6 separate regions of the Mus musculus genome follow, and regions 1, 2, 3, 5 and 6 are each reported to be linked to region 4. Evidence: microRNA targets listed by miRTarBase, many of them from high-throughput screens and not tested one by one. Region 4 holds a microRNA gene; each other region holds the end of a gene's coding sequence. Distances are between the middles of the regions.
What was found. The annotated mature microRNA mmu-miR-1195 reads UGAGUUCGAGGCCAGCCUGCUCA and lies in region 4 at 3,049-3,071, opposite strand. An mRNA with a match to its seed (bases 2 to 7 or 8) in the 3' UTR can be bound and repressed. Matches are read on the target gene's strand: a 7mer-m8 pairs with bases 2 to 8, a 7mer-A1 pairs with bases 2 to 7 and ends in A, and an 8mer does both.

Region 1 (5,075 bases), not on the chromosome of region 4:
TGCTTGTGGGTTTATAGTGTGCACTTCTGAGTCCCAGTGGCTGCCGGGAGGTGCTGGTAATGGAAGAGGGAGCACGGATGGGGCAGAAGATGAACACAGCGAGAGTGGGTGGGAAGCCTACATCTTTCCAAGTAAAAAGCATTTTAACTCAAAGTAGAGGTCAGAAGAACAAAGAGTTATCCTTGTAAAAATTATTTACATTGATACAAATCATTTAAAAACAAAAAACAAAAACTGGAAGCCATAATCTTACAAACCCAGAAAGTGCCTTCTCTGCCTCTGCTGTCCCCTGATCACATGAGTGGACAGGTCACATTATCCTATTTGCAAGGTAGTGGGAATATTTATGTCCCGGGCTTGCTTCAAATGCCAAGAAAGGAAAACAGGTATAAATTTACATCCCTAAATCATCTTTCCTGCTGAAGCAGTGACTTACCTCAGGCTCTGGGCTCTGGTGCTGGGCTGGCACCCTGGGAGGTCAGAAGTTCTGTTGACTGGAAGACTGTGGATTGTGAACGCCACGCGGCTCATCTTGCGTTTTTCCTTTTGGGTACCGTAGAGCTCTCTTCCTGTGCCAGCGTGCTGGAGCTGACCCGCACCAAACAGGGGCCCTTCACACTTGCACAGCACGCCCTCCCCGAAGACAGGTGGACCATCGATGACATCGAACAGTCCCTCGAGCGCTGCACGTCTCTTCTGCCGGAGGAGCTGACATTTAAAAAACTAAAATCTGACAACTCCAGTGACCAGGTTATAAGCTGTGGATATATAACTCTCAGGGACACAAAGAGAGAAGATGACGCAGTTAAGACACTGTGAGGCCGGCCTGGGAGGATCATTTCCTGGTTGGTGTCTGTCCCGACCAGGAATGCCCATACACCTCTTGAGTTCTTTGCAAGATGTCTTAATGTCTCTGAATGATGGATCTGATTGGATTCAGATAAATAAGTTTTCTGAATTTGATCTTCCCTTAGTCTTTTTCCTATGAAAAAGTTAAACAATATTCTAATGACAGAATCCTGAAGTCTGAGCTGCAGGTTCCACTGGTCTCACAGAAGTGTCAAACTTGCTTTGCTTAGACTCGGGGAGGGGGCGTTCGTTGTTTTGAAATTCTCTGAATACATTTGAAGTGTTCAGTGTCGAGCTGTCCTGTGTGTTTGCAGAGCCTATGGCTGCTGGAAGGTGCTGGTGGGCTGTACTCAGCTGTGACTGTGTTTCTTAAATCCCGGGAATCAATACGTTGTCCTAATACATATCTGTAAATGCACAAACTCCTGCTTTGGCCACTGACAGAATGTAAATAGCGTGAGACGTGATTCATTTCAGATCCTGTATTCAGCAGAGCTCAGCTCCTGTAGCCGTGGACTGTGGCAGCTATTTCTGTGGTCAACCACATGGTATCAAAGTACCAAAAATGTGATTTTCTAGAATATAAACTAAAGAATGTATCTTGAATTAAAATGCTCTCCTGCCTGTTCGTTAGCGCCTCTCTGTGACTGCGGAACCCTGGTCCAGTGACATGGTTTCTGTAGTTATGAAGAATATGATCACATTTTCAAACAGCAGATTTTATGAGTGCTTCATTGTTTTGTTATAGTAATATCTATTCTTTTATTGTGTGTTTTGAGTTCTTGAAGACAAGGAAACTGAGGACACTGGAGAGGCGAAGACACACTGCCTGTCCAGCAGGCACGGAGTGTAGATTCTGCACCCACCCACAGCAGGCGGCTCTCGCTACTTCAGCTCCAAGGGACCCAGCACCCACTTGTGGCCTGTGGGCCCCTGTGAACGAACACCCATGCCTCCACACACATACATAAAATAATTACTTTAAGATATCGAGATTTAACGCAGGATGGCCCCACTCATTATGTAGCCAAGACTCCTCCTGTATCTACCTCCCAAGTGTAGAGGTTAGAGGCATAGGCCACTGACTCCTGCAGGAATGTGGAAAGGTATTGTACAGCTGTGGCAATAGTCAAGGCTTCCCTCATTTACTAACGTATATTTTCAAAAAGAAGATTTATTAAACATTCCGTAAAGTACAAGTTTTTATATTTTTCATACCTTTCCTCTTAGAGGTTGTTGCCTCTAAAATATTTTAAATAAGCAGACTGACGGTTTTATTGTGGTTAATGTAATGCAAACCTAATATAAACAGTTGGGTGCTTCAACAGGGCATTCTCAGCAGACTGGCAACGTGTTTTAATAAAAACGTTAATGTTAACTCAGGGCAGGTAACCTGGCTCAGCTGGTGACACCAGGACCAATGACTTGAGCTTTGACCCCTGGGCAACCTTTGTGAGAACCTCTACCCCAGCAAGTTGTCCACAAACACTCTGCAGTGCGCGTACACCGTGCCCATCCCCCACACATAAAAAACCAAAAGAATGAAATGTTTTTAAATTTAAAAACGAATTCTTAGTATGAGACTGAAAAATACAAGTGTTGTATTATGGTAAATTGATGAATTGGAAGTTACACAGCTTTGAGCCTGATGTCACGGTGAAGCTTTAATCCCAGCACTCAGGAGGCGTGGCCATGTGGAGTTCTGTGAGTTCCAGGTCAGCCAGGACTACACAGGACTTCGGAGTGGGACCCTGTATGTTTATATTTTTATATATTCCTATCTAATGTCCTGTAATTCGTGTAACCAAAGGTGATGTTAGATCCTGCTGCCCGTTAGAACGGACTAGGCTGTACATGGTATGTCTTCATCATGAACAGCTCAAGCCTGAATAGACCATACAGCCTAGAGGTTTCTTTTTTCTTTTTTCTTTTACTGGATATTTTATTTATTTACATTTCAAATGTTATCCCCTTCCCCGGTTTCCCCTCCAGAAACCCCCAATCCCACCATCCCTCCCCCTGCTTCTATGAGGGTGTTCCCCCACCCACCCACCCACTCCCATATCCCTGCCCTGGCATTCTGGGGCATCGAGCCTTCACAGGACCAAGGGCCTCTCCTCCCATTGATGCCCTACAAGGCTGTCCTCTGCTACATATGCGGCTGCAGCCATGGGTCAATCTATACTCTTCTCATAGTGAAGAGTAAAATTTATGAAAAAGCAAGCAAGTTCAAGAAATGGCAGTCAGTCTTTTCCTTTTGTTTGGAAATGCTGGAGAAATTATGCAGGTTTTAAAAATGCCCATAATGTTCACCATCTTAATGCACTCATTTTGGATTTTATTTTTATATTGCATTTTCCTCTTTATTTACATAATTCAGGCTCCTCTGCTCTTACTGATTCTTGAGACGATTTTATCTGGGCACATTTAGTCTTCACGAATATATCTGTTATATCTCTGTACTCAGTTCATTTAAACTACTTTCCCGGGGCTACACACATAAGCAGCCTTTTTTTTTTTCTAGGACACATTCTTGTAATGTGGTTATTTTAGGGGAAGCAATAAGAGCTTGTGATCCCCTGGGCTGTAACATATAGTACCACCATTGTTTGGGATTTTATACATTGTTGCTAAAGTTTCCCTGCTTTTGTGTGACCTACCTTCACACCCTGTTCATTTGTCTAAATAAATGTTTCTTTGTATGTAACACGAGTTCTTTGCAGTAAGCTCTTAGCAGAAGTGGTTTTCCTGGCCTGTCTCAGTTTCTTCTCCAGGTCCTGTGATGAAATACCCTGACAAACGGGACCTAAAGGGGAGTGCTTCCTCTGGCTGCAGCTGAGGATCCCAGAGCGGGCGGTCCAGACAGCTGGTCTCATAAATCTGCAGCCGGGAACAGCAAGCAGCCAATGGTACTGCTCGGCAGGTTTTCTCCATCTAACGCGGCCCAGAGCCCCTGCCTAGGGAGTGGCCCTGCACATTGCTAACACAGACATCCCTCTTCAATTAGCCTGTCAGGATCATCCTCCCAGGCGTGCCCAGGGTTATCTCCCAGGGCACTCAAGAGCCAGCTGGGCTGGCAGCACCAACCTGTGTCTTGCTTTGTAAACATATTAGGTTTTGCTGACTCTTAGGTTTCACTACCGTCAGATGTGTAAATATGAGTAATTAAAATTTATTACGATTTTTAAATATTCTTAACTTTCATGGGTAGCTGAAACCAAGACCCAAGGTCTGAACTAGTTCAACATTCATCCTCTTTAAAATTTAATCAGAACATCAGAAAAATATATGTGACTTATATATTTCAGGCATTGAGATACTTGGCATGATTAAAGTCATTTTACTTATGGGCAAAAAAAGTAAGTTAGAATTTTCTTCAGATATCCCAGCACGGAACATACCAAATCACCTCACTGTGATTATTTAACTCTTAGGTTTCTGAGAAATGTTGGTCTCATGTGAATGTTTAAAATAGTCACAGAATTATCTTCTGACCTTAAAATCTACAAGGATTAAAATAATAGGAATTTATTCAAAGCTGTGATTGGTGAACAAGAGACAAATTAACGTTTTCCTGAGCTCGCTGGGTCTTTCGCTCTTCACTACATGAATTAACTCGAGGTTGCTGACTCATGGAGAACCACCCGCCTCAGAAATGCTGGTACAGTTTGTGCCCCTCCGACCAGTCTGAAATCAAACTTAGAACGAACATTTTGAGTTTCCATTAGAGGGTGAGCCGTTCTGTTTCAGAGGAAAAAGGTAATTTAAATTGTATCATGCTCTGGATAATGCAGAAATGTAATTCAAGAGCACTGTCAAGCACAGATGCATTTATTAAGTCAGACAAAGATAACAGCATGCAGTTTGGGCACTGAAATTATAGTAATAGCCTTAAATTTTAAATAGAAGGACCGTCTTAAAATGTTTTGTTCTCAAGGTGCTGTGTGAGCGGCTGTAGCTTGCCCTGGTCAGCTTTTAAATACAGATGTTAAACAGAGATTCCATGGCCCTCAAATCATAATGTCTTCATTTATCATCAAGTAAATTAAGTTCTACAATAAGACATTTTTAGGATGATATTAAAAATGCTGAGGCCAGTCAGAAAGTTGTTAGGAATTGTTTTCGAATTCATTTCTCCATTTCTGTTTCATTTCTTAGAAAACAACCGATTCTTTTTGATTATCATTAATCAGCTCTTTGATTGGCGGCACTTTGTCTTTGAGGGA
Region 2 (5,063 bases), not on the chromosome of region 4:
AGATCTTCACGCTGACGTGGGCTCCAACAGGCAGGGCTGGAGCTAATAAAGTGCCCATAGTAAGTTGCAGTAAGAGTAAGGGAATGACCAGTAGACCAACACAAGACAGAGACCAGACTCAGCTCCTGCCTCCACCACCTTTCTCCCAGCCAGAGAGACCCCAGGAAGCCACACAGGATGGGCTGGAAAATAGCTGTGTGAGTTTTTCCTCTGCACCCCTGATTGGAGAGGGCAGGCTGCTTCCCAGCTGTTCCTGCTGAAGAAAAGGAGCCACTCTCTGCCCCAATCACGACAGAAGCAAAGGACCCGGTTCCCCCAGGGCCCAGGGGTCCTCAAGTTGGGAGAAACAATAATCAAAACTCTGGAACAGAGAGGAGTCTGGGCTTAACCACAGACACGTGGGCCCGAGGCATGCTCTTCCCCTCCCTGCACCTTGTTCCCTGGAGCTGGCTGGTCATGCTTGCCCAGGCTGAAGCATCCTGAGAGGACAGCCATAACTGCTTTGTAATCTGTCAGATGCTGCCTAGGTGTGTGGGCTTTGAGGGCTAATCTATTTCTGTTCCCCAAATAGGTTCCCTTGCTGGTACCAGGACTCAGTTACCCACTGGAAACCTTTGTGGAGAGTCTCAGTAGCAAGGGCATCTCAGACATGATCAAGGTAGGTGGCTACTTCAGAGGCAAGTGGGACCCTGGGGAAGCAGTAGGATGAGGCTGGAGAAGACTATGGGACCCAGGGCTGTGATAGGGTGTTAGCACAGCAGAGACCCCCAGCCTTGCCATTCCTTTGGCAGGTAAGCCGGGAGCCTGTCACTTGAGCCAGCAGACAGATTTGCTGCTAGTGAAGAGGGGAGGTCAAGTTGCCCCCTCTGCCTTGTCTTTCCCTCCCTAGGTGCTAGTGCTTCGGGAAGGCCAGAGTGCTCCCCTGCTGAGTGCCCACATCAACATGCCTGTGAGTGAGGGTCTGGCAGCTGCCTGAGCCCTGCGCCAGCATTCAAGTCTCCACAAACAAAATGGAGCCTTTCGGATTCAGTGACTTCCAGTATTGCCAGACTACTTCCCCCGGTAGCAATGTAGTGAGACAGCAGCTCCCTGTTCTTCTCTGACACAGTCCCTTGCTCCCCACCTCTGCCAGTGACCTGAGCAACAAGACACGGGGTGCTCGGAATCAGCTCCTCCTCCTCGGAACCCACTCAAGCCCTGTCCCTCAGTTCCGGCTGCCTGCTACTCCCCAGGTCCCAGGAAGAGATGTGAGGTGGTCAGGGCGAGCATAGCCTCAGTCCGTCCGTCCTTCCTTCCACTCACCTCTTTCAGATCAAGAGCACAGTTGATCGAGGGCTTAGATGTCGGCTGGTACTGATCCTCTGCTGTCCTTTGAAGTTGCAGGGGTGTGGGTGCTGCCAGCTTGGTTTATAGGCACATGTGCTAAGCTTTCTCAACTGAAGAGGGGCTCCACTTTCTACCCTGAAGCCCAGGAGTCATGGGGCTCTGTCCCCAGGTCCTAGACGAGCCACAGAGATTGCCAGAGGAGCTGGTGCCAGAAGTAGACGGGGTCCGTGTGAGGAGCTAGAGCCACACAGCCAGCAGCTGCTCCCGACATGGGTGCTCATGGCCAGAGGCACTGTTCTGAAATGGAATGCGGAGCTAGATAGCGGAGCTGGGGCTGGTGGCACTGGGAGAGGTCTGGACCTGGGACCTGGGAAGTGACCCAAGAGGCAGATGCCGACAAGAGCCTGTCAGAGTGCACTTAGGTCCAGGAGCCCGAGATGGTCCTGAGGGTGGAATGTTCACTGTGCAGTGGCCAGAAGATGCCTGAGCTCACGGAAAAGGTGCACACCAGGGGTGTGGCATAAAGCCGAAGACTGAAGGTAGATGTGCTTAGATCTCAAGGGTCAGGGCCCCTGGCCCTCCTCAGAGGCTGTTCTGAATCACTTGAGAAGCAGGAGCCCTGCTCCATGGAGAGCAACATTTTCCCCAGTCTGATCAGGTTCAGCCTGGTGTGTGGCACCCAGCTTAGGCTTGCAAGCTTCCACCTCCTCTCCAGTACAAGAGACTTGCCTGGATTAACTCTAAGCCGTTGTCAGCTCTGGCACCATTAGAGCTTGGCAGCTCCTCAGGAGAAAGGGAAGCATTGCTCCAAGAAGGCGAGACTCAACTGCACAGCTTTGTCCACAAAACCTAAGCTGACCACCACTGCCCAGTAACAGCCTCTGCGCCCACTCGGGGACCAGGGTGACCCTTTCAAAGGGTACTTCAGGGCCCAGGCTAAGAGACAGTGGGTCTGGACCAAAGAAACATCCTCGTTCTCATATTGCCCATCCCCCTCAAGACAGTACTACCTGAGCAAGGAGAGCAAAGGGTTCTTTGTGCATCATCCAGTGAGGCACAGCTGGACCACGCTGGAGGTCTAACTGAAGATGGGAGAGGGCAGGGAATGTTGCTGTGAGTCACAAACCCCAGCCTATCCTGCACAGTAAACAGGAAGGCCTGTCCAAGTTGTTGAGCCCTTGTCACTGTGTCATGTGAGCGGGGCTGTGCTCTCATGGGGCCAGGTTGGATCATGACATCCCAGTCCCTTTCACCCAAGTCATGCTGTGAAATCAGAACAAAAATATTTGATGTGTGCACTCTTCATAGCTACTCATGATGATACAAGGGGTGAGACATATGACCAGGTCCTACCATAAAACACAGTGTCATACTATGCTTGCCTAGTAAGAAATGTATGCCATGCACCTTATGCACATAAAAGAACATGAAGCATAAACGGTGCAGAGTGTCCAGTACTCACGGAAGTCAGAGTTCTAGGAAACTGAACCTTAAGGATGAGAAGAGTCTATCTTTTTTTAACATAATACTTATTTTAAAACACACACCTATGTAATGACCTGGAATAGACTATTTAAAGTAAAATGCCCTCTTCCCATTCCACAGGACCATTCCTGTACAACAGCCATCTTCATTAACTATTTTATTTTATTTTTTGGTTTTTCGAGACAGAGTTTCTCTGTGTAGCCCTGGCTGTCCTGGAACTCAACTGTAGACCAGGCTGGCCTCGAACTCAGAAATCTGCCTGCCTCTGCCTCCCAAGTGCTGGGATTAAAGGCGTGCGCCACCACCACCCAGCCATTAACTATTTTAAAAAAAAAAAAATATATATATATATATATATATATAAAGAGATTCTTTTAAAATTATGTGTGTGGGTGGATACAGGTGCCCAAAGAAACCAGAAAAGGGCCTTGGATTCCCCAGGAGCTGGAGTTACAGGTGGTTGTGAGCTGCCCAGTATGGGTGCTGGGTCCTTGGCAAGAGTCCTTAGACATTACCTGTTGATCCCTGTTGCAGCAGATAAGCGTTTGGTGCTCTTGAGACCCCTCCCCTGCTCTCCATGCTTTAGGTAGTCAGTGCCCACTGTTTACATTGCTGTTTATATTGATTCGTGAAAGTCTTAGTAAAGTGAGAATTAACTATAACCATTTTTGAACTTTTAGATGTTTTCATGGAATTGGCACTTGGTTTGACTTTTCTTTCTTTCATTGCTAAGTTTTCTAATATACCATGGAAAATCCCCCCATCCTATCTCAGTTCATTTCTCGGGCGGGACACTTCCTTTCTAACTTGCTTCTGTGCAGACTCCCCTAGAAGAGAATTCCTTCTCCTGTTAGATCCCCTGATTCCTGGGTCCCATGTCTTCTTTCTTCTTCCGCCCTCATTGGGTAAAACGTACCCAGGGTAAGATCACTCTAAAACCCACCTGTGATGGTTATTCCTGGCTGTCACGTTGACTGTACCTGGCCTGAGCTACAGTCCAGAATTGGAGCACCCTGTGCTCCAGAGCTGGAGGCTGGAAGGCACGGGCTTTGATCTGGACCTTGGAGCACAGTGACCGTGAGAAGCTCAGGCCCAGGGAAGGTGACTCCTGCCTTTCATCCCAGGAGACAGAGGCTAGCAGATCTCTTAAGTTCAAGCCAGCCTGGAACAGAACAAATTAGGTCCAGGCGTGGTGGTGCACACCTTTAATCTCAGCCATACTTTCTGCTGGAGGCCTCCATAAATAAGGACAATGGAAGAAGGAAGGCTTGCTGCTTCTTTGCCTGCTTGCACTTACCTGCCAGCACATCTGTTGGAGCCTAGTTCTTCAGGATTCCAGCTTATACAAAAGACCAGCTGAAACACCCAGCCTCATGGGACTGAGCAACTACTAGACTCTTGGACTTCCCATTCACAGCTGCCCATTGTTGGTTAGTTGGATTGCAGCCTGAGTCATTCCAATAAATTCCCATAATATATAGAGACATTCCATAAGTTCTGTGACTCTAGAGAACCCTGACAAGATACCACCCAAGTCTTTATATCACTGCTTGTCTGGACACTGTTGTGACAGTCTGGGTGGTAAAACAAGCTGGGAACAGTTTTCCTGTAGGCGAAGCTCCCATGTCTTCTGTGCTCTGTCCCAGTTGTTACTCTGAGGTGGGGGTAACGGGCATTCCTCCTCAGGGCTGGCTGTTATTCTCTCTCTGGGGCTCCAGTTAAGCTCTGTCTGACAGATGGTCGCTACTGAGAGGACTGCATTGATCCTAATTTTCTTCTTTCATGGTCATCTTTTTGCTTTGTTTTCCAAGAGTGAGAATTTTGTAAGCTTTTCTTACGTTTCAAACTGTTTTTCTTAGTTCCTGTGTTCAGTTCTTATATTTTCTTCTCTTTAAGTTTTGCATTTGTTTATATGTAAGTAGCCTAACAGCATCTAATTAAACAAAAACTCATAATGAATTTATTTTATTTTGTGTGTGTAGGGGGGGAGGTAATAGGAAGCACTCAGGGGCTTTAACTGATATTGAACCAGAGGCCAGAGAATAAAGCAAAAGTACAGAGTCCTTCATCTGGGGTGGGGAGAGGTGGAGGGTGAAATTTTGTTTTTGCACAAAAACCCAGGCCTCTCTGTAGAGGGTGTGCAGGCCATCTGCAGGCACAGCAGAGCCCCTAAGGGGCACAGCCTGAGACTCCTGTGGTCTGGCCTCTCTGTCCTGGCCCAAGATTGGGCCCTGTTTTATTCTCTTTACTAT
Region 3 (5,075 bases), not on the chromosome of region 4:
CATAGTACACAAACACAGTACATATGTATACACACACACACACACACACACACACCACATTTGCACCTTTTGCTAAGATAGGATTTCACCACATAGTGCCAGCCAACCTCAAACTCAAACTCACGGTCCCTCTACACTGCTTTCTAACTTCAGGTATTACAGACCTGAGCTACCACATTCCATCCCCACCCCCCTATTTTTCATTCACTAAATTCAGTTCTAGTTGAAGATAATAATACCTACTTTTGGGGAGACCTATAATGATTAAGTACCCATATGTAAATTCAGTCTAGTATGAGACATAACTAAATTTTGTAATGTTTTAGTAGAACTTCAAATGCTCTCCATCCCTAAATTGCTGAGAGTGGCTTTCGTGGGAGTGCTGGTATTCAGTGGGAGATGGTGCTGGTAGCAGAAGAGCAGTGGCTGCTGGAACTCCCAGCACTGAGGAGCCTCCTCGTACGGAGTCCCCTCCTGGGTCCTGTGCCCCACGGTGCCCTTCCTCTAGAGCTTCTTACGGCCTGCGTGTTCACTGCTTCTCTTTCCACAGGTTTACCCAGAACCTCTCCGTCTTCAGAAGAGATGTGGCAGAGGCCCTGCGTAGCGATGGCCACACTGACCTAAGCAGCCTGGACATGATGAGCTGACCCAGCTCCTGAGCGTGGGCTGTGCAGCCTTTGTCAAGAGAATCTGGAAGGTCTGGGTTCCAGACTACGATGCTGGCCAGCCCAGAAGAGTGTATTTTTCAGAACAAGCAGCTAAAGCCCTACATTTTTATAAGTCTGAGCTAATTATAAAAATTTATAATAGTGCACATACAATGTAAATTCAGTATTCAAAGCAGCACATGTTTCAAGTCTATCTGGATTCCCACAATGCTAAAGGGTCTAGAAACTGTATTCAACCAAAGAACATAGTAAACCAGGCTAGTGCCTGTGACCACGGCTGTGGATTTGGTGAAGATGCAGCCCTCACTTCAGTGTGGGTTCTGGGTCGAGACAGATGCCATCTGAACCTGTTGAATTCAATCTTTACATCTGGAAAATGCAATATTAGGGACTCGGGGCTGTGGGCATTGACAAGGAGCTTGGGAGGAAGCACCATAAAGCCTCCCCCAGAACTGCACACAGGCCTTTCTGCCTCAGCAATATCTGATAAAGTTCAGAGACAGTAACACAATTAGATGACTAACAAACAATGTTTGCTTTCCACTGGCATAAATCTAAAGTGGTTCAGTCTAGAAGAATTAGCTCTGCAATTGCTGCCTGCAGAGAGATGTGTTTAGGACTCTGGAAGCCTAGTTAGAAGTTCTAGGTGCACAAGCTCCATTTAACTTGAAGGAAAGCTGAGGGTGGCAAGTTGTATCTGGAAGCAGCTCTGCCTTCTGACCACCCAGCAGAGTTCAGCTGCCACCTTCTGCCCTCCGCCCTCCCTCCGCCTTCCACACGCTTAACCACTGTTGGATGTGACTTCATCCAAACATAGGAAATGAAGGCCTTTACAGCTTGTGACCCATCAAACCTAAGCTATTAATTTGGAATTGCCACTGTCAGGCGGGTTTCCTATCTCACTGCACTGACTTTGGCGTTCAGGCTTACAATAAACACTGCGGCCATAATGTCTGATCAGACCTGAAAGGCTGACCTCACTGTTGCAGGGGAAAATCCACAGGCTCTTGCTGTAATCTCATTTCTCAGACTAGTGTTTCTTCAAACCTTTCTTGATGGTTGAGTTTTGCAACAAGCTTGTCGTATGAAAGCCAGCCACCTAAGTTCATGCCCAAGTGTCTGTCTTCCGTGTGCAAAGGGAGCGTGGGAAACGGGGGGTCTGGATGAGAGTGCCTGTGGTGTTGAGCAGGCAGGTGAGCCTGAACCGTACTCCTCCCACTCCGCTAGGGAAGAGGACTCTCCTAGAGAGACAAATCCTGTACTTAGAAACATCAGCTTTCAAGGAGCTTGACAAGAATTCCTCTTTGGTTTTTGTTTAGTTTTTCACTTGTTTAGTTTTGGTTGTCTGAGCCTCCCTACGTAGCCCAGGCTGGCCTGGAACTCACTGTGACATTTCCACAGCCTCCTCAGTGAAGGTTGATAGGCATCGGCCACAATGCCTGGCTTGTGTGCTTGTGGGCAGGGTGGTTGTAGCTGCCCTCTTCCCACAGCACTGCACATGCTTCCCCGCTCCAGCACCGTCTCTCACAGATGCCTCTAGTCAACAGCACTGCATCGTTTGCATTAAAGTGTTCACAAGAAAAGAACGCTGTGGGCTCCCTTCTCTTTGCCCTGTGACCAGAGATCACTGGGAGCTTAACAGGAGGTGGAGAGTCCCTTTCAGACTTGGTCTTGGGAAGCATTTTGAGAAGCAGGGTCAGCCAGTCTCCTCATGCCTCTGTGAGCTTGACTGCTTGACTTACAGAGTGTTCTGTAGGGGCCAGCTTAGGAGAGAGGACAGTCAGCGAGCATGGAGCCCCTACTCTTACCCACACTTCCCTCACACTGCAGCATCAGGAAGGGCGGGCCAGAGATGGTGCATAGCTTCACCCAGCTCTGTCCCGAGGGAACTGTGCCTCCTCCATGGAAGTGGTGCTGATATTTAGGTCTGTTCTACCTGTTTTTCAGAGCTTGGTCATTAACAGTAAATGACTCCAGAATTTTAGCCTGGAGATATAGGTGAGAGGTAGAGAGCGCTTCCATACTGTACGGAATGCCTGGGTGAGGAAGGCCGAGGCTCACAAGCTAATGGTTGTGTTTAGGGGTAGGCTCGGCACAGGGCTCACCAAGGATCGTGGCTCACCACACAGGTCTTACTTAGCTTGTGGAAAAGAGCCAGAGACTTTAGAGATCTGAGGGTAGGCTTCGCCCCCACCTACCCCTACCCCACCCCCACCCCCACCCCTGGCTCTAAAGGGCCTCCATCCGCTGCTGGGAGAACACTAGTCCTGCCCCACACACTGGGAAGGAGCCCACGATGACAGACTGAATACAGGGATATTGGCAGCAGTATCCTTTAAAGTGGTCTGCCACAGCCTACCTGGCCTTGGCTACATAGGTTTCTCCCTTGAACTATCAATTTTTCTAATCTGTGATGATCCCCCCTCCTCAGAGAGAAAACAGAAGTGGGGGCCAAGTGTCCAAGGATCACCTTCATGGCATCACAGACATAAACCCAGGTTGGGACTCCCAAGCCCACCAAAGCTTTGAAGGCGCATGGGGACAGAGACCCCAGAGGTTTAATGCAGGAGTGGCCTCTGGAGACATTCTATCCCAGTATTAAAACCGACATGTTAGGATACCCAGCAAACCAGAGGGCACAAGGAAACAGCAAGTGCCACTATTCATGTGATCAGATAGCAGGTGTATCTGTCTGCCTTAGTTCAGCAATAAGGAAAAATAGTGCTGACAGTGCCACAGGGACCACCACTTGGTAAAGGCATCAGTGGAATAGGGGTATGGGGTGCCTTTGCACGCCACAGCCCTCTAGAAAGATTCTAGTGTACAAACATGCATGCAGTATGCGCTCTATGTCAAGCCAGCTACAGAGTCAATGCTCAAGCAAGAAGTGGTCTGTGGATATACTGACTGAGATGTGTCTCACTTTTCAGTGCCCTTCCATCAACATGTAAGGGCAGGGCACCAGGGAGCACATGGTCCCTGCACTGTGTGTCATGATCTGAACAGCCCAGAAAAACCCTCTTGGTTCCCTGGACTCCCTCCCACTGGCATGGCAGTCTACACATACCTTGGGATTGTGGTCATGGGGACCCCTTCCAAAATGCAAAGCTGGGCTGGCTTATAGCTGAAAACTTAGATGAGTGACCAGATTATCTCAGTGCAGCTGAGCATCAGAATAGGGCAGGCTGGTAAGAGAAACTGAAGGGCAAATGACCTGTCATATTACCCTATTCAGATGTAGTAGCCAGCCTGGCACTTTGGAGGGAGGCGCATTTGAGGGCCATGAATGAGGAAAGGAGCCTCTGGAGAGAGAGAGAGACAGGACTTGGGGTATGGCTCTGGTGGAGCATTTACAGGGCCCTATGTTCCATGCTAGCACCACGGTGAACAGGAACAGTGAGTCGGAAACAATTGCAAGAGAACTGGATTCACCTGCTAGGCCTTGCTTCTCGGTAAGAATGCCAAGTATTGTTTTCCTTGTTTTAGAGATGAGAAAACAAACAAGTAGACTGAGAAAAGGCTGCATAGCTAGACCCTCCCATACTTAGTCCAAGAGTAGAAATAAGAGGTGATGGGGAATGGCGTTTGTGGTCCACACAGTCTAGGCACATCCTAGTTCTAGCCCTTCTCCGAAAGCATGCTGTGGGTCAAGGACCTCTCTTCCCTAAGGCAATAACCCTTGAAGCCTCAGGCCTTTAGACAGCCTGGAGCCATTTTCTCCTCTGTGCCAGAAGTCAAGAGAGTTTCCTAACTACACACCTACTTTGTTTTTCTGTTTAATCCCAAACTGGGTCCTCTGTAGCTGTCACTGATGAGGTAGACAGGGGGCCCTTCAGGCCCCTCAACCGTTAGGACTAAATACTTAGACAGAAAAGCCAGTCTACCCAGAGACTTTGAGCTGAGTCTGTGAGCTCTGCCATGATTCATCCTCCTGCTGTACTTCATAAAATCGTTCTTGAGACTTTTTAATGTTTTATTGAGGTGCAAGTTTATGAGGAAGCGAGCCTTTCCAACTACAGCAAGAGTAACCTACCTCCTTGGCATATTAAAAAATAATGTTAGTGTTGGGTTTTACGTCCCACAGTTTGGACTGCTGATAAGAGCGCTTCCCTTGACAAGATTCTTTTTGAGGTTTACAGAAAGCGTAATAAAATATGTAAGTTACATCTCCACAAACAAAAGCTATAACATAAGTTATTTATAAGCGTGAGATAGAAACAGTATCATGATAAATAAGCCATAAAGGGTGCCTGCAACATCCATCTTAATGTAATTTGCCCAACAAAAGGGTTGAAACGAAGTCAAGTTCAGCAGAGAAAATTTGTCAGGAAGAGGGAGGAAAGCTGTACAACACAAGATGGGGAAACGGCCGATGGATGAGGGACAGACAGGTAAGGTGTGGCTTGG
Region 4 (5,075 bases):
GGCTTTCCAGTCCAATGGTATTTGTGTAGAGGGGAGTGATCTCCACAGGGTGTCCTGCAGAAGCCAAGGCAATCCCTTCATATTTTCTTCAGTGACAGGAATGCTTATTCCCTTGCAAGCGACATGAATAAATTTTATTTTTACATTTATTTGTTGATTGCAGTGATGGGGGTTGAACCTAGGACTTCCCTATTACTAGGCAAGCACTGACCACTGAGCCACACCTCAGCTGTAGCAAACTTGATGTTAAAACTCTGAGCCGAGCGTGGTGGCGCACGCCTTTAGTCCCAGCACTTGGGAGGCAGAGGCAGGCAGATTTCTGAGTTCGAGGCCAGCCTGGTCTACAGAGTGAGTTCCAGGACAGCCAGGGCTACACAGAGAAATCCTGTCTCGAAAAACAAAAACAAACAAAACTCTGACATCTATATTACTTTTTTTTTTTTTTTACTATACTTGATATAGAAAGATTGGTACATTCCACTCTCATTTTGAAAGCTCTCTAGCATATTTAAAGAGTATATAACATACATATGTACTGGTCCTCAAGAAATCCTTTCCATCTATTTATTTGTTTGTATGTTCACTCGTTTGTTTGTTTGTTTATAGACAGGTTTTCATGTATCCCAGGCTGGTCGGGAACTCTCTAGGTAGCTGACAATGTCCTCGAACTTCTGCTTCTCTTGCTTCTACCTCCTAGGAGTCAGGGCTCCAAACCTGCCTTACCATGCCTACATCTTTTTTTTAGTGTAAAACTAGAAATTAAGTCCAGGACCTTCCTGCCTGGGAGGCAAACACTTTGACTGAGTGAGCTAAATACACTGTTTTTAATTATGTGTCTATGTGTTTATGTATAGATGTATGCACAAAAGGTTTTGTGCACACACCTATACATGAACACATAGGTTTGTGTATAAGTGTGTATAGGTGTATAACACCTATATACACACAAGGTTTCCATGGACATGGCCATCAAGAGCCTCCCAACAAAGGTGCAGGGAACTGACTCCGATGATTTGCAAGAACATTTCAATCACAACCACTGAGCTACCTCTCCAGCCCAAAACCTTTTTTTTTTTTTTTTTTAATTAAAACATTTACTATTGTCTTTTATATGTGTGTGTGCCCTCCCCTGGCACTGAAGTTATAGAAGTTGTAAACCACCATGTGGGTGCTGGGAATCTATCTCTAGAACTGCACCCCATGACAACTAGCTGCTGAGCCTTTCTCTAGCCACCTCTCTCATCTTGTTTTTAGTAAAATCCTAAAGAGATGTGTAATCTCAGATACAATGTTCACCATTCCCAGAGTGGTTTTGCGTTTTAACTTTTTTAAATCGTGGATTTTTTCCCCCTTTTCTTCTTACTCTATAGCTCAGGCCCAGGATGGTGTGGGAATTTACTGTGTAACCCAGACGCTGACCCTGCCTCCTGCCTGAGCCTGCTAAGTGCTGGGGTTACAGGCGTGTATCACCCACCACCTAGTTCTCTGAGGAGGTGGAATCCAAGCTCTGGGCTCTGGGAAGGGCTCTACACACTGTGCTGCACACCACTGGACTGGAAAGCCAGTGTGTACTCTGGACCCCTGAACTGTCTTCCTTCATCTACAAGCTACTGCTTACTTCTATTGTTTGATATAAACCCCAGACATCACATCACTTCTGGATCAGCAGTTATGATTAATGTTCTAGCTTGTCTGATCTGTAGCTCTGAACTTACTCACAAAAGGGCTGGGTCTGCAGGGCAGTGGTGGCGCATGCCTTTAATCTCAGCACTTGGGAGGCAGAGGCAGGTCTGGTCACCCCAGAATTATACACCCCATTGTCTTTTGCTGTTTTCTGCTTCTAAGGCTAAATGTTTCTCCAGAGAGAACAATTACTTTTCATCTCTAGTTGGCACTTTAATGCTTTTAGTTCTAATAACCCATTATTTAGGTTAATAAAGAGATAAAAAATTGCTCCAGCAGGCTTACTCTTTTTTTTTTTTTTTTTTTTGGTTTTCCGAGACAGGGTTTCTCTGTGTAGCCCTGGCTGTCCTGGAACTCACTCTGCAGACCAGGCTGGCCTCGAACTCAGAAATCTGCCTGCCTCTGCCTCCCGAGTGCTGGGATTAAAGGCATGTGCCAACACCGCCCGGCAGGCTTACTCTTCAATGTGCGTTTCTATTCTTTCTGCTGGCACCCGACACACTATGTGCTCAGTTTGTTCTGTGTTGTTTGATTGATGAAATACACTCGAATCTTCACACATTTTTTTTTCCTCCTGTGGTTGGAATTGGATAGTTATTGTAACCAAAGGCTCCACAAAAAGCAATTTAAGGGAAGAAAATTTTATTTTGTCTCATGATTCAAGTGACCATGGGCAAAAAGACAAAAACCTTTATATTTTTTCCTTCCTTCCTTCCTTCCTTCCTTCCTTTTTCTGTAAAACACACACACAGAGATATGGGAGGTGTCCTTCAGGCATGTGGAGGTCAGGGGACAGCTTTTAGGAGTCTGTTTTCTCTCTGCACCTTTTTTGGGGGATGGAGTCTCTTCTGTTGCTTCTCACTGAGTAGTGCTCTGGCCTAGGTGGTCCGCAAGCTCTGCTGATTCTCCGTCTCCACTCTCCATCTCTTTCTGAGAGCACTGGGTTACCGTGGCACACCCTTGTACTCGAGTGGGTGCTGGGGATCAAACTGAGCTCAGTCAGGCTTGTGCACCCAATCAAGGCCAGTGCTTTAGACTGTCCTGCCGTCTGTCCATCTCAAGAGGGCATCTTCATTAAATGGCAAGAAATTAACATTGTGCTCATGAATAGAAACAAGTTTTTAGCTTGACATTTTAAATTTCTACAAATAATGCAGGCTTGACTGTGTCGTGTGTATAAGCCTTGTGTGTGGTGTTCAATACTGTGTAGCTACTACAGCTTCCCCTCAGAATGTAGACTGTTCTCTCTCTCTTTTCTTTTTTCTTCTTCTTTTTTACTTTTTCTTTTTTTTTTTTTTTTTACTTTTTACCTTCTTGAGACAGGGTTTCTCTGTGTGTTCCTGGCTGCCCTAGAACTCATTCTGTTGAGCAGGCTGGCCTCGAACTCACAGAGATCTGCCTGCCTCTACCTCCCAAGTGCTGGGATTAAAGGCGAGCGCCACCACAGCCCGGCTGCCTGGCAGATTTATTTATTTATTTATTTATTTATAACCTTGATCTCATGTTTAAGGTGATGTGTCCCAAACTCTCCACTGTGGGCATTATGTTTTCCTTTATGGTTGATAAATCTATCAAATGTATCAAAATAGGTGAATGTCCTGTCTTTGAAGCCTTCAATCTCAGCCTCCTCACTCCATCATTCCTTCTCCATTGCTTTGCTGTGTCCTATGGTAGGGAGAGCTGCCCCTCCAGTTGTCTGTGCTGCTCTGTCTACTTACAGGACATTTGGAGTCCTGGTTTATTTAGTGCATTAATAGCCTCTTATTATTATTATCATCATCACCACCACTATTGTAAAAATTCTTGGATTTACCCAGAGGAAGTTCCTCAAACTGTTTTTTTATTAATTTATTCTTTGACAATTTGATATATACACAGTGCATTCTGATTATTCTCCCTGTCTTCTCATCTTCCCCTCCAGTCCCTCTGACATGTTCATGTCTCTCTCTCTCTCTTTTTTAATATTACATGTTTTGCCTGAATGTACTCATGTGCCCCATGTGTGCCTGCTACCTGCAGAGGCCAGAAAAGGGCATTGGATGCTTGGAATTGCAGTTTGGATGGTTGTGAGCCCCATGTGGGTTCTCTACAAGAATAACAGGTGCTCTTAACCTCTGCACAACCCTCGAGCCCCTTCATGCCTTCTTGTTTTGCACCCCTTGAGTCTAACCACAGTGGTTCACGTGCCACTGGGTATAGAAGCATTCGCTGAAGTTGGTAGACTCACCCAGTGAACACACAATTGAAGGCAGTGACTGTCCCTGCCCCAGCAGCAGCCAGCACCAATAGTCCCCAAACCGGTTTCCTTGTCCTCTTGTACCATTCTTGGAAGATTTTCTTACCGTCTGGGACAGTGGCGTGTCTCAGGTGCATGCTACACTTCCCCTGCTCCAGTCCCCAAGCCCTGGACTGATCATTTTTCCAGCAAGTGCTGGCTATTCTTGTAGAAAAGAGAATCACTTATAGACATCAACATGAGCTCCAGTCTAGTGCACTGCTACTGAACCATGATTGCTTACTTCTGGGTTTCTCAGCAGAACTAAACACACACACACACACACACACACACACACACACACACACACACACCTTCATATGTTGGAAATCATGAATTCAAGCAGGGTACAATGGTTAACAGCTATATATTTATACTTCTGATACTTAGGAGATAGGCATGGGAATTTGGAATTTGAGGCCACTCTGGGCTACCTAGGTAAGAGTATATGTGAAAACAAGAGTATGTGTGTGATGGGGTGTAGTGGAGGAAAGGAGGGGCCCACATTATTTTGTGCTTCCAATTTCAGCAAACACAGCACTGCCTTCCATTCCCCGCCTCTCATATCTGCGCCCTCTTTTCTAACCACAAGCAACCTGCTTTCCATTACCTCAGGGTAATGAGTACTTAGTCCCATTACCTCAGGGTAATGAGTACTTAGTCCTAGATAGCAAGCTAGAACAGCCCTACCTGCCACTGGTAACTAACTCCTGTTTGCTTCCTCCCTTTGGTCTGGGGGTTTAAAGACAAAACATCCCTACTTCAAGTAATTCTGCCTTCCACACTCTTCAACTGACTGGCGCTCTCTTGAAATACATCTAGGTGATTTTCTGTTTGTTTGTTTGTTTTAAAGATTTATTTATTTTATGTATGTGAGTACAGGGTTGCTGTCTTCAGACACACCAGAAGAGGGCATCAGATTCCATGACAGATGGTTGTGAGCCACCATGTGGGTGCTGGGAATTGAACGAGGGACCTCTGGAAGAGCAGCCAGTGCTCTTAACCACTGAGCCATCTCTCCAGCCCCCATCTGAGTGTTTTTCATTGTGTCCCACACTGTGCCTCTCATTCTTCTGACTCTACAATTTTTTTTCTTGCACTTGTACATTTAGCAGAA
Region 5 (5,075 bases), not on the chromosome of region 4:
CAGTTCTGTTCTTCCATTGTATAAGTTTCCAAACTGGAACTCATGTGGACAGGCTTAGGTGTATGTGACTCCCAATGAAAGATTTCACTCTCATATTTACCTATTTTCCAATCCAATGAATCCAATTGATATTAATGATATGTGCATATGTGGGGCATCATTGCCAAGATTCAGACAACCTACCTACCATTTTCATACCCACAAAAAAAAAAATGAGTCTCCCTCTCCAGCATTCATCAGCTGCCAAGAACCTCTTAACTCCATGAAGTATACTATTTTATTTTTAATTTTTGAGAATTTCAATATGAGTACCATATTTGCATCATTCCCCCACAACTCTTCTTCTGCTTCTCCACTTCCTCTCAAATTCAAGACATTTTCTTCTTTATATTATGTTACTTGTACACGTACACACACACACACACACACACACGTGTGTGTGTGTGTGTGTGTGTGTGTGTGTGTGCACATGTATAGAAGCAACTTAATCTATTTACTGATGCTCATACTACATGTCACGTATAAGTTTAAGTGTGATCACTTTAGATTTAGTAACACATAAGGATGGCTCATCCCTGAAGAAAACTGATTTTCTCTATTGCTGTAGCCACTGATTGCTTGTAGCAATGTCATCTAGGGATGAATCCTTGTGAGATTTCCATATTTACACTGACATGTGTACTGATGTTATCACTATGCAGGTCTTGTTTAAGATTACTGAGAGTTTTTGACATTGTTGAGATTGTGTGGGTGCAGCCTCCCTGGCATGTCTAGAAGACTCTATCTAGGTGCAGACATCTGGTCTTCTGGATATTACCATCTTTCTTCTCCATTGTTCTTAATGTTCCCTGAATCTTAAGTGTTTTTCCTAAACAGAAAACCACTACATGTCTTATCATAAATACTCCACCTATTTAATTAGGCACAGTATAATACAGAAGCTAAAATAGGAAGACTTATAGTTTGATTTAAAGACTTAGAAATATAGACTTAGAAAATTAATATAAAGATTTAGAAGAAAGAGAGACTAGTGAAGCATAGAGGATATTGCTGTCTCCTTTGCTTGCCCCTCGGATGTAGAAATTAAGTACCTATTGCTGATGACACCATGTATTCCAAACACAGGGTCCAAAGACATCTGAGCTGGAGTTGATTTAAGTGCCTTCCCATTCATGTACCAGAACATACCATGCAAGCTTCTAAAGGAAGGAAGTGATTAGTAGTCATGTACAGTTATGATGCCTACAAATATCATCAAATGCTATCAAGGCATAATAATCCTAAGGCTGCACAGATACCTCACATAACTCTGTAGTAATCAACAGATCTCCAATTAGACTTAACATGTAATCAAAAGGGGAAATCATATGTGACATGGGAAGCCTAGCTATTTATTCAGGGCTGGTGAAGTTATGAATTTTTGGAGGGAAATCTACAACCATTGCTGTATTCATTAACATAATTCCTAAGTTCATTCTATATATTTGTCCTTATACCCACATCTAAGTGTAGTCCTCACCTCTCATTGTGAAAAGTTCTCTTTGTAACAAAGACAACGAAAACTAAGGAAAATCAGAAAAAAATGTAGATGTATGGAGCCCAGTTAAAAGGAATACATGTATAAATGACTCCCACACCTGATATTCAGAAAACATTGAGGAGTAGGAAAGCAGAAAGACTGTAGAAGACCAGAAAATAAGGGAGAGCATGTATCCTAGTAACATATCTTTGTCCATCATTTCATTTTAATCTGGCATGGCTTTATTTAAAAATAGGCATCTAGTAGCAACATTGTTATGTCTTTATATTTGCTTCACAATATTCAAGCTAGAGGAACAAGTCAGATAAGGAACAATGAAGGAATCAATTGTGAAACTGCGGGAGTCACAAACAGAACATGATTACTCTACTGTTAAGAACCCGGGTATCAGGTTATTTATTACATGTTGAAAATTTAATATATGTCATGCTGCATTATGGAAGCAAATGTAAAGAGAAATATATGACATCATTTCATTTGGAAGTAGAATGTACTTTAAAGTGTTAGTATCTATATAATGACTATATATGACTATATATAAGGAAATAATGCACTTCTTATCAAATCTTTCTTAGAAGGTGAAAAACATAGTTTTAAAAACATTAACAGCCAGGCATGGTGGTGCACACCTTTAATCCCAGCACTCGGGATGCAGAGGCAGGTGGATCTCTGAGTTCGAGGCCAGCCTGGTCTAAAAAGTGAGTTCCAGGACAGTCAGGGCTATACAGAGAAACTCTGTCTCGAAAAACGAAAAAAGGAATTAAAATATTAAGTAAAAGAAAGTTTCATAATTATTTTTCTGTTGCTGTGATAACAAAGTCTACTCATACAAAATATTTCATAAGATATGTCATAATTCTCATGGGGTGGAATACATGACCCTCATAGCCAGAAGCCTGAGAAGAGGCAGACAGGTTGGCATGGCAATGGAGCAGTTGCCAGAAGCTTATATCTGACTCTCAAGCTTGAGGCAGATAAAGGGCTGATGTGGAATAGTACTGGCTTTTGAAACCTCAAAGATTACCCCTACTGAGATATATTCCAAAAAGGACACACATTTTAATCCATCCCAAACAGTTCCACCAATCTGGGGCCAAGAATTCCAAAATGAGACTGTAGAGGAAATTTTTCAGGTACACCACCACATTCCAGTTCTTGGACCATGTAAATTTGTAGCTATATCACAGTAGAAAACACACTAAATCCAACTTGAAAAGTTCTCATAGTCTTTCACAGTACAAACACAGTTTAAAAGTCAAAAGTCTCTTATGATACTCAAGGCAATCTCTTAATTGTAACTCCTTGTCAAATAAAAAAAGCACAGTACTTGTTTCCCACATACACAGGCACAGATCGTACATTACCATCCATTCCAAAAGAGGAATGGAGACATGGTGAGGAAATACTGGGCCAAGCAAAAGGAGAAAATGAATATTTACATAACCTGCTGTATATGTTAGTTTGTTCAACTATAACAACCATTTAGCTACATGTATATCAAACATCATGCTACAATCTTTAATTTGCACTGTAAATTTTAGTTTGCAACAAAAATATGGACAGCATATTTACCTCTGACAAAAAATTTTGACTGGAGGAGAAATAAAAATTAAGAAATATAAGAGAGTGTTTTGTGTCTTGATTAGGTTTTATACCTATATTAACTTAAAATCCTGATTTTTTTTACATTAATCTGTTGATATTCTATCCTCTTAATTGAATTTATCACACACTGCAGCTTTAAAATTGAAATACTGTTTTATAGAAAACTTTACTTAACATTACATAATTAAGTTTTTAGATGCTACTCGCTCGTGAAATGGTATAAATTTAAAACAAGTTTGATATCAAGGGAACCTGTTATAGAGGACCTGATTGGAAAAATATCATGAGGAAAGAGTCAGAGAGAAGGAGAATCATGACAAAGTCAACACTCAACCATGGGAAGCTAAGTAGGACACTGTGAAAGGAAGAAAAGAGGACAGACACTCTCAACCTTTTCATGAGCATGGATATTGATGGATCACATTATTAGACTGAGCACACTCTTCCAATGCTGAAAATGGAATAGATAGTGAACTTGAAGGTGAGGAATCCACTGGGAGAATAGTGATTTAACAGACTTCTCTTGAGAATGTTTACATCTTTACTAAGAAATTTATATAAGAAAGATGATCATACATTTATTAAAACCTACAGAAATTAGTAAGTTCTGTGATTATTACTTATCTATTTAGCCCTTCATTATTGGAAAAAGTTTGTTTTAAAACAGAATTTTTTTTGCAAAGTATAACAAGGATTTAACCACTATCAAATTAAGTGAGCAAAGAAATATAACTTTTCATTGCACTTTCTTGAGTTTTCTTCTGAAGAGGGATTTGTCAATTGTGGTCAACACCTCTCCTGGACCCCATAGAGCTTATAAGGAGTCCCATCAAATGGAGTTGGTAAAGCTCTGAGCAAGATAGCTGCAAAAATACTGTACTCAGTATTTATAACAAGTTCAATATCAATCAACTTCTACAACATTGACTACTTCCCCAACTGAGTTAACCTTGGGTCATCAACTAAACAACATTATGAAAATGCCACAAAGTGATAAAAACATAGTTCTCTTCAAAGCTATTTATGCCTGATCAAAGCAGCTCTCAGTCCCTTCCAGACAGTTTTTATTTCTCTAGGTCTTCTTGAGGAACCCATCTCTCCACATTCTTCCTCCTCAGGAGAGTCTTGCATGGCTCTCTGCAGAAGAAGCTTGAGAGTCTTCCGTTGAAACCGATGGTGCCTAATGGAGCCAACAAGGAAGTAAATGATGGGGTTGGCACAGCTGTTAATACAGGACAGAAATATTGTCACGTTACGAAAACCACAAGGTTTATTATCATGAAATTCCCTAATCCACTCTAAGAGGAACCAGTAGATCCCATAGGGCAGACCAAAGATCAGGAAGACAAGCACTGTAAACACAATGGTCACATACAACCTGGTCACAGGAACCTTGTGTAAGCCACAGAAGATGGTAAGCACCAAGGCCAGACTGGATCCCAAGAGAACCACAAATAAAACAATTAACCATGCAGTAGTGATTAAATCAAATGTCTTACACAAACCAGGGCCACTAGTGTAATATAGGAAGCCACATTCCTTTCCTTCCAGGAGGCTCAACACCAGGGACAAGACCCAAAGCACAGTACATATGACAGCTGATGTGTGCCTTGGGCGTTGGCAGCGGTACCAGATGGGCCACATGACAGATAGGAAGCGTTCAGTGCTAATGACAGTGAGGATGCTCAGACCACTAAGGTAAGCAATGTTTAACACCATAGTGTAAGATGAAAAAAAATTAGTGGGGATGAAGTAGATGTCTAAGATAATATAAAAACAATGTACAATTTGAAAGCACATGAAGACAAAGTCAGCACCAGCAAGGTTGAGGATGTAGACAGAGAAGGCATTCCTGCTCATCTGGAAGCCCAGAAACCATAACACTGTGGCATTTCCAACCAGCCCAACTAAGGCAATGATGAGGGAAAGA
Region 6 (5,075 bases), 47 Mb from region 4:
TGAACAATACTGGACCAAGCTTCATTGTAAGAGCATGGTTTCTCATTAGCTAGAATCAAAATGTGTTGCAGTGATAAGGGTCAAAGGTCTTTGTGGCTTCTAGTTTTTGGTTCCAGTTGGAATTTAATGTTTTGGGGGAGATATGACCACAGGAGAATATCACTGGGCAGTGATGGCACACGCCTTTGATCCCAGCACTCAGGAGGTAAAGGCAGGGTTCAAGGCCAGCCTAGTCTACAGAGTTCCAGGACTGCCAGGGCTAAACAAAGACACCCTGTCTTAAAGTAAAAGAAAGGGAGAGAATCTCAAATTAGCTCTGTCTATCCATGTTCCATGTGCATCCATGTTACACACACATCCATGTTACATGCACACATCCCAACTGTGTGTGTAGCAGTTGGCTCAAGAGGGCAATGTGCTCTGCCCAGCTAGATATATCCTTCGGTTGTGGGTCTGCATCTTAGTGTGTTCTCCAGTACCTTGAAGAGATTATTTGTGTTTGGGAGAGTGTATGCATGTGTATTTGCATGTGACTGGTATACCTTTGTGTACATGTGTGCATGTAGAGGCCCAAATTTGACATTAAATGTCTTCCCTGGTCACCCTTCACTTTATTTGTCAAAGCAAGGTCTCTCAATTAAAGCCAGAGCTCACGGACTCAGCTAGTCTCAGCAGCCAGCTTGCTATGAAATTCCCTGTCTCTGCCTCTGAAGTAAATGGATGACAGGCAGCTCCCACACTCCATACCTGATGCTGGGGACTCTAACCTCCAATTCTCTCTCTTGTGCATCTAGTGCTTTATTCATTTGGGTCATCGCTCAGCTTCCTTTCATGAATTCTAGGAAGCAAAGTCAACTTCTTCAGCTTGTCAGGAAAGCATTTTACCAATTTAGCCTTCTCCTCAGGCCTTCATCAAAACGTTTTTTTAAAAGATTTATTTATTATTATATGTAAGTACACTGTAACTGTCTTCAGATGCACCAGAAGAGGGCGTCAGATCTCATTATGGATGGTTGTGAGCCACCATGTGGTTGCTGGGATTTGAACTCAAGGGCTCTTAACCGCTGAGCCATCTCTCCAGCCCCTCATCAAAACTTTTACAGCAGTCTGGTCAATAGATACATCCTAGGATCTATGACTGAGGCTATAACTTCACCTCTCCTCAGGGACTCAGATTCTTTCAGCAGGTACCAGGCCTCAGCGGCTCTCCATGACCCTCAGTCCTGTAACCCTCCATCCTTTAGCAACAGCACAGGTGGATAAAACTCTTTTGAATTTACAAGTCCCAGCTCCCTGGGATACAGCTTTGCCCACCAGACAACCACAGCTCTGGCGCACTGACCCCAAGGAAACAGAAGAGAAGCAGAGTGACTGGAGAGATCAGGAAAAGAATCAGGGTGAAGATACAGGGAGCCTGAGGACAGAGTCTAAGCAAGTGCACATAGCCTGAGTAAGGGGGCAAAGTAAACTCTAGAATGTTCTTTGAAAGAGGCGAGGACTTGAGGCTTCAGGGCTCCAAGACAGTCTCTTTGCTGTTGTCCAGAACTAACCAGTTTTCTTGGAGCAAAATAACTTTTCCAGGAGGCTGGAAACTACTGACCTCACAACACTCCTCTCTTACCTTTTAAGACTCCTGTAACCTCATAACAGCTGGGTCCCCCATTTCTTTTAAAACCAACCCCTCACCCCCTTCTCATCCAAGCCTGCAGCTTCTCCTGCGGTGCACAGTGACTGACATCTTATTCCAGCTGCCCCAGATCCATCACGCTCACAAGAAATAAAGGCTTTCTCTGACCACCCTTTTAAAACGATTGACTCTTTATGTACATGAGTGTTTCGCTTGCAAATGTACCACACACCTACAGAGGTCAGAAAAGGGCATCAGATCCCCTGGGACTGGAGTTATGGCCATTCCGATGCTGGGAAACAAAACAGAATCCTCTGCAAGTCTAGAGAGCACTTCTCCAGCCACTCCAATCCCGTTTCGTTCTCTTCCTGAGTCAGGCTTAGTTCCCAGCTCCCCACCCCTCCCCCACATTATGGTAAAAAGCAAATGTGTGAGTTAAAGTGAATTAATTTGATGAAGTTGTGAAGATAAAGAACACTTTAGATCCCATTGTGGTGGCACAGACCTTTAATCCCAGCACTCCAGAGGCAGAGGCCAGATTATCTCTGTATGAGACCATCCTGGTCTTCAACAAAACACTGAAGGCGAAAAATAATAGAGTTTGTAATTGGATATGAAACAGAAAAGCTGACGGACTCAGAAGCATGCAGCTCTACAGAAAAGCCAGTAACTATGGTCTCAGTCTAAGGCTCTGATCCGAACCGATGAGGGCTGAGGGACTCACACACCTTTCGCACACTCTCCTAACTCCGTAACAGACTCAGTGGTGGGTAAAATGGCTTCTCAGAAATCCTTGAGGTTCCAGCAGAGACCATCCAGTAGCCAAGGAACTAGAGAGGTGAGGACAGCTGCATCTTGGTGGCTGTCCCCTGGTTGTCAGAGTACCCCTGGCACCTGTGCTTCCTTGAAGCTGCAGTTACATTGTCTCCACAATACAAGAAACTAAACCACAAGGACATTCAGCCTACATACCTTCAATATATATAATATTGACCATTCAATATATGCTGAATACATATTTCAATATTATATTTTGATATATATATAATATTGAAATATCATATATGTCACAAAAGTTCCTAATGCTTTTTCATTCCTTCCCTTTTGTGGACCTAACAATGAAAGATCTGGTCCACCATAGTTTGAGATGAAAATAAGGGCGCATTGCCCAATAAATATTCCACCTACCTCATATTCATAAAACCCCTCATTGGAAGCGGTCCGTTAGGCCTCCCCCCACCCACCCACCCACACACCTTGGGGTAGTCAGTCTTCCGTTAGGCCTCTCCCCCACCTTGGGGAGCCTACTTAACCTCTCTTCAGAGTGCTTTGCTATCTTGTTCTTTTTTTTTTAAGGATGTATTTAGTTTATGTATATGAGACTGTAGCTCTGTCTTCAGACACATTAAAGAGGGCATTGGATCCCATTACAGATGGTTGTGAGCCACCAAGTGGTTGCCGGGAATTGAACTCTGAACCTCTGGAAGAGCAGCCAGTACCCTTAACCACTGAGCCATCTCTCCATCCTAAACTTGGTTCTTTTGCCTTACTAAGTAAACTACTCAAGCTGTCTATGCATTCATTCCTAAATATAGATTCTTGGCCCCCTCCCCAGAATGCGGATTCAGGGCAAGGGAAAATGATCTTTATTCTTGAATACCCATGAGATGCTGGATAGTGGCGGTGCACATCTTTAATCCCAGCACTCAGTAGGAAGAGGCCCCATATCTCTGAGTTCGAGGCCAGCCTGGTCTACAGTGTGAGTTTCAGGACAGCCAGGGCTATACAGAGAAACCCTGTCTTGGGAAAAAAAAAAAATCCCATGAGGTTCTGCACAGAAGCAATGATCTAGGTCCTGAATCTATGAGGAAGTTGGTTTGAAGGAAGCTACCTCAGGTTTTTTTTTCACTGCTCACTGTGTCTCATTGGGCACCCTGGGGGGGGGGGGGCTAGGACAGCAATCAGTGACAAAGACAGGAATCATAAGATCCCTTCCAAATGAATGGGGCAATCCTGAGTTCAGGGTGATGACCCTAGGCTGTGTTCTGGGATGAGGGTGACGTAAAAGGAGATAAGCAGGGCCAAACATGGAGAAATTCCATCCACATCAACACTGTTGTCAGCCAAGACTTGACGCACACCCTAGAGGAGGTGGCAGTGCTTGGCCTAAGTCCCTACCCTGTGGCAGTGATTATGAAGGGACATGGAGGGAGTAGATCATGGTAAGAAGATTCAGGAACATTCAGAGGCTAAAGGAGATGCTGGGGTTCAATGTCCTGGTCCTGTTTAACGCATCTAGTCAGAGTACAGTCACCATCCCACTGTGATCAGTAGGACTAGTTGAGAATTAGAGGAGTGGGGATTCCCAGAAAGCCAGTTAGCTCAGCAGAAGGCAGCACATAACCTGGGTGTTAGTGTCACCTTGGTTTGGAGGAGCAATTCTGGTTTGAGGAGCTGCAATTCTGCTGGGTTTCTAGTTCTAGTAGCTACAGCAGGCACGCCCCTCTTGGCGATGGAGAGGGTGCACACCACCCCCTGGCGGCCACCCTCACTATGGCCACGGCTCCCTGCACCCTAACAGAAAGCAGACTCAGTAACACTGGAGGCGTCCCCGGGCTTCTACTAGGAATCTCTCAGCTCTGTGCACGTGGGATGAGGGACGCGGAGCACAGATGGTGAGGCCCCGCTGCGGGAGACTCCGTCTTCCTTTTATATAGGAAGTCCACAAGGAAGGACCAGGTTTCAGTAAGAAAAGACCTCTCCAGCCACTAGGGGTAGGAGAGGCAGCAGGAGGGGCGACAGCTGCTCTGAGGCTTGATTGAGCTCGCAGTGACAATCACAGCTTCGGGTTTTGGATGTCGTTTTCGGGGGACTGGTGACTCGAGGGTCAGAGTTGGGGGCAGGGCAGTCCAGCCACTTGGGCCCAATGGGCTGGGGGGAATCTGACTCAGCTTTGACACTGCCCTCCGCAAAGCGCCAGAAATGGGTGCCCTTGAAAAAGTAAGTGTCACCTGTAGGGGAGGAGACGCCTCAGAGTCTTGGTCTAGACTTGCCCCAAAGCCAATGTTCCTTTTTTCATTCCAACTCCCAGGATGCCCACCCCACCCCACCCCATCTGCCCTCCCCTCGTCTCCATCTTTTCTCTCCCAGGGATCACAATTTGCAAATGACTCTCCACACCTGTGTTGCTGATGGTGACATCGTCTGGGGCAAAGGGCGCCCCATCCCAGAGACTCAAGGCACGTGGGTAGCCAGGGTCTGGGCGGGCGGCCACCTCGTCATACCGCCAGTACTTTTGACCTCGGATCAGGTATGTCTTGCCATTGTGAGGCCATGAGAACACAGCATCCACGTCTTCTCCTGGGGGCAGCCCAAACTCTACCAGTGGCCGCGCTGCACCCTCAAGCTGTCGTTCCTGGAACACCCAGAACTGCGGGCCTGGAAGAAG

Region 1: the mRNA of Trub1 is a reported target of mmu-miR-1195. The part of its 3' UTR that is shown has no 7-base or 8-base seed match.
Region 2: miRTarBase lists Bbs1 as a target of mmu-miR-1195. Seed matches in the 3' UTR shown: 7mer-A1 at 3,027-3,033 and 8mer at 3,054-3,061.
Region 3: miRTarBase lists Ranbp17 as a target of mmu-miR-1195. Seed matches in the 3' UTR shown: 7mer-A1 at 2,046-2,052.
Region 5: miRTarBase lists Mrgprb1 as a target of mmu-miR-1195. Seed matches in the 3' UTR shown: 7mer-A1 at 2,240-2,246 and 8mer at 2,211-2,218.
Region 6: the mRNA of Mmp25 is a reported target of mmu-miR-1195. Seed matches in the 3' UTR shown: 7mer-A1 at 3,642-3,648 and 8mer at 3,359-3,366.

The regions. Positions count from the first base shown.
Region 1 is chr19:57,487,450-57,492,524 of GRCm38, forward strand. It overlaps Trub1 (TruB pseudouridine (psi) synthase family member 1), which reads left to right. Exons shown (of 8, transcript NM_028115.3): 8 at 560-3,556. The coding sequence ends at 819. Among named protein-coding and RNA genes, the nearest start is that of 6720468P15Rik, 19 kb to the right of the region's middle.
Region 2 is chr19:4,886,585-4,891,647 of GRCm38, reverse strand. Bbs1 (Bardet-Biedl syndrome 1 (human)) reads left to right here. Exons shown (of 17, transcript NM_001033128.3): 16 at 572-658; 17 at 890-4,766. The coding sequence ends at 976. Among named protein-coding and RNA genes, the nearest start is that of Zdhhc24, 10 kb to the right of the region's middle.
Region 3 is chr11:33,208,974-33,214,048 of GRCm38, reverse strand. It overlaps Ranbp17 (RAN binding protein 17), which reads left to right. Exons shown (of 28, transcript NM_023146.3): 28 at 551-2,255. The coding sequence ends at 647. Among named protein-coding and RNA genes, the nearest start is that of Tlx3, 7.9 kb to the right of the region's middle.
Region 4 is chr17:70,857,510-70,862,584 of GRCm38, forward strand. It overlaps Mir1195 (microRNA 1195), which reads right to left and starts at 3,091; the gene lies at 2,994-3,091.
Region 5 is chr7:48,442,948-48,448,022 of GRCm38, forward strand. It overlaps Mrgprb1 (MAS-related GPR, member B1), which reads right to left. Exons shown (of 2, transcript NM_205810.4): 2 at 1,166-5,075. The coding sequence ends at 4,163. Among named protein-coding and RNA genes, the nearest start is that of Mrgprb1, 11 kb to the right of the region's middle.
Region 6 is chr17:23,626,199-23,631,273 of GRCm38, forward strand. It overlaps Mmp25 (matrix metallopeptidase 25), which reads right to left. Exons shown (of 10, transcript NM_001033339.4): 9 at 4,808-5,065; 10 at 2,971-4,638. The coding sequence ends at 4,370. Among named protein-coding and RNA genes, the nearest start is that of Mmp25, 17 kb to the right of the region's middle.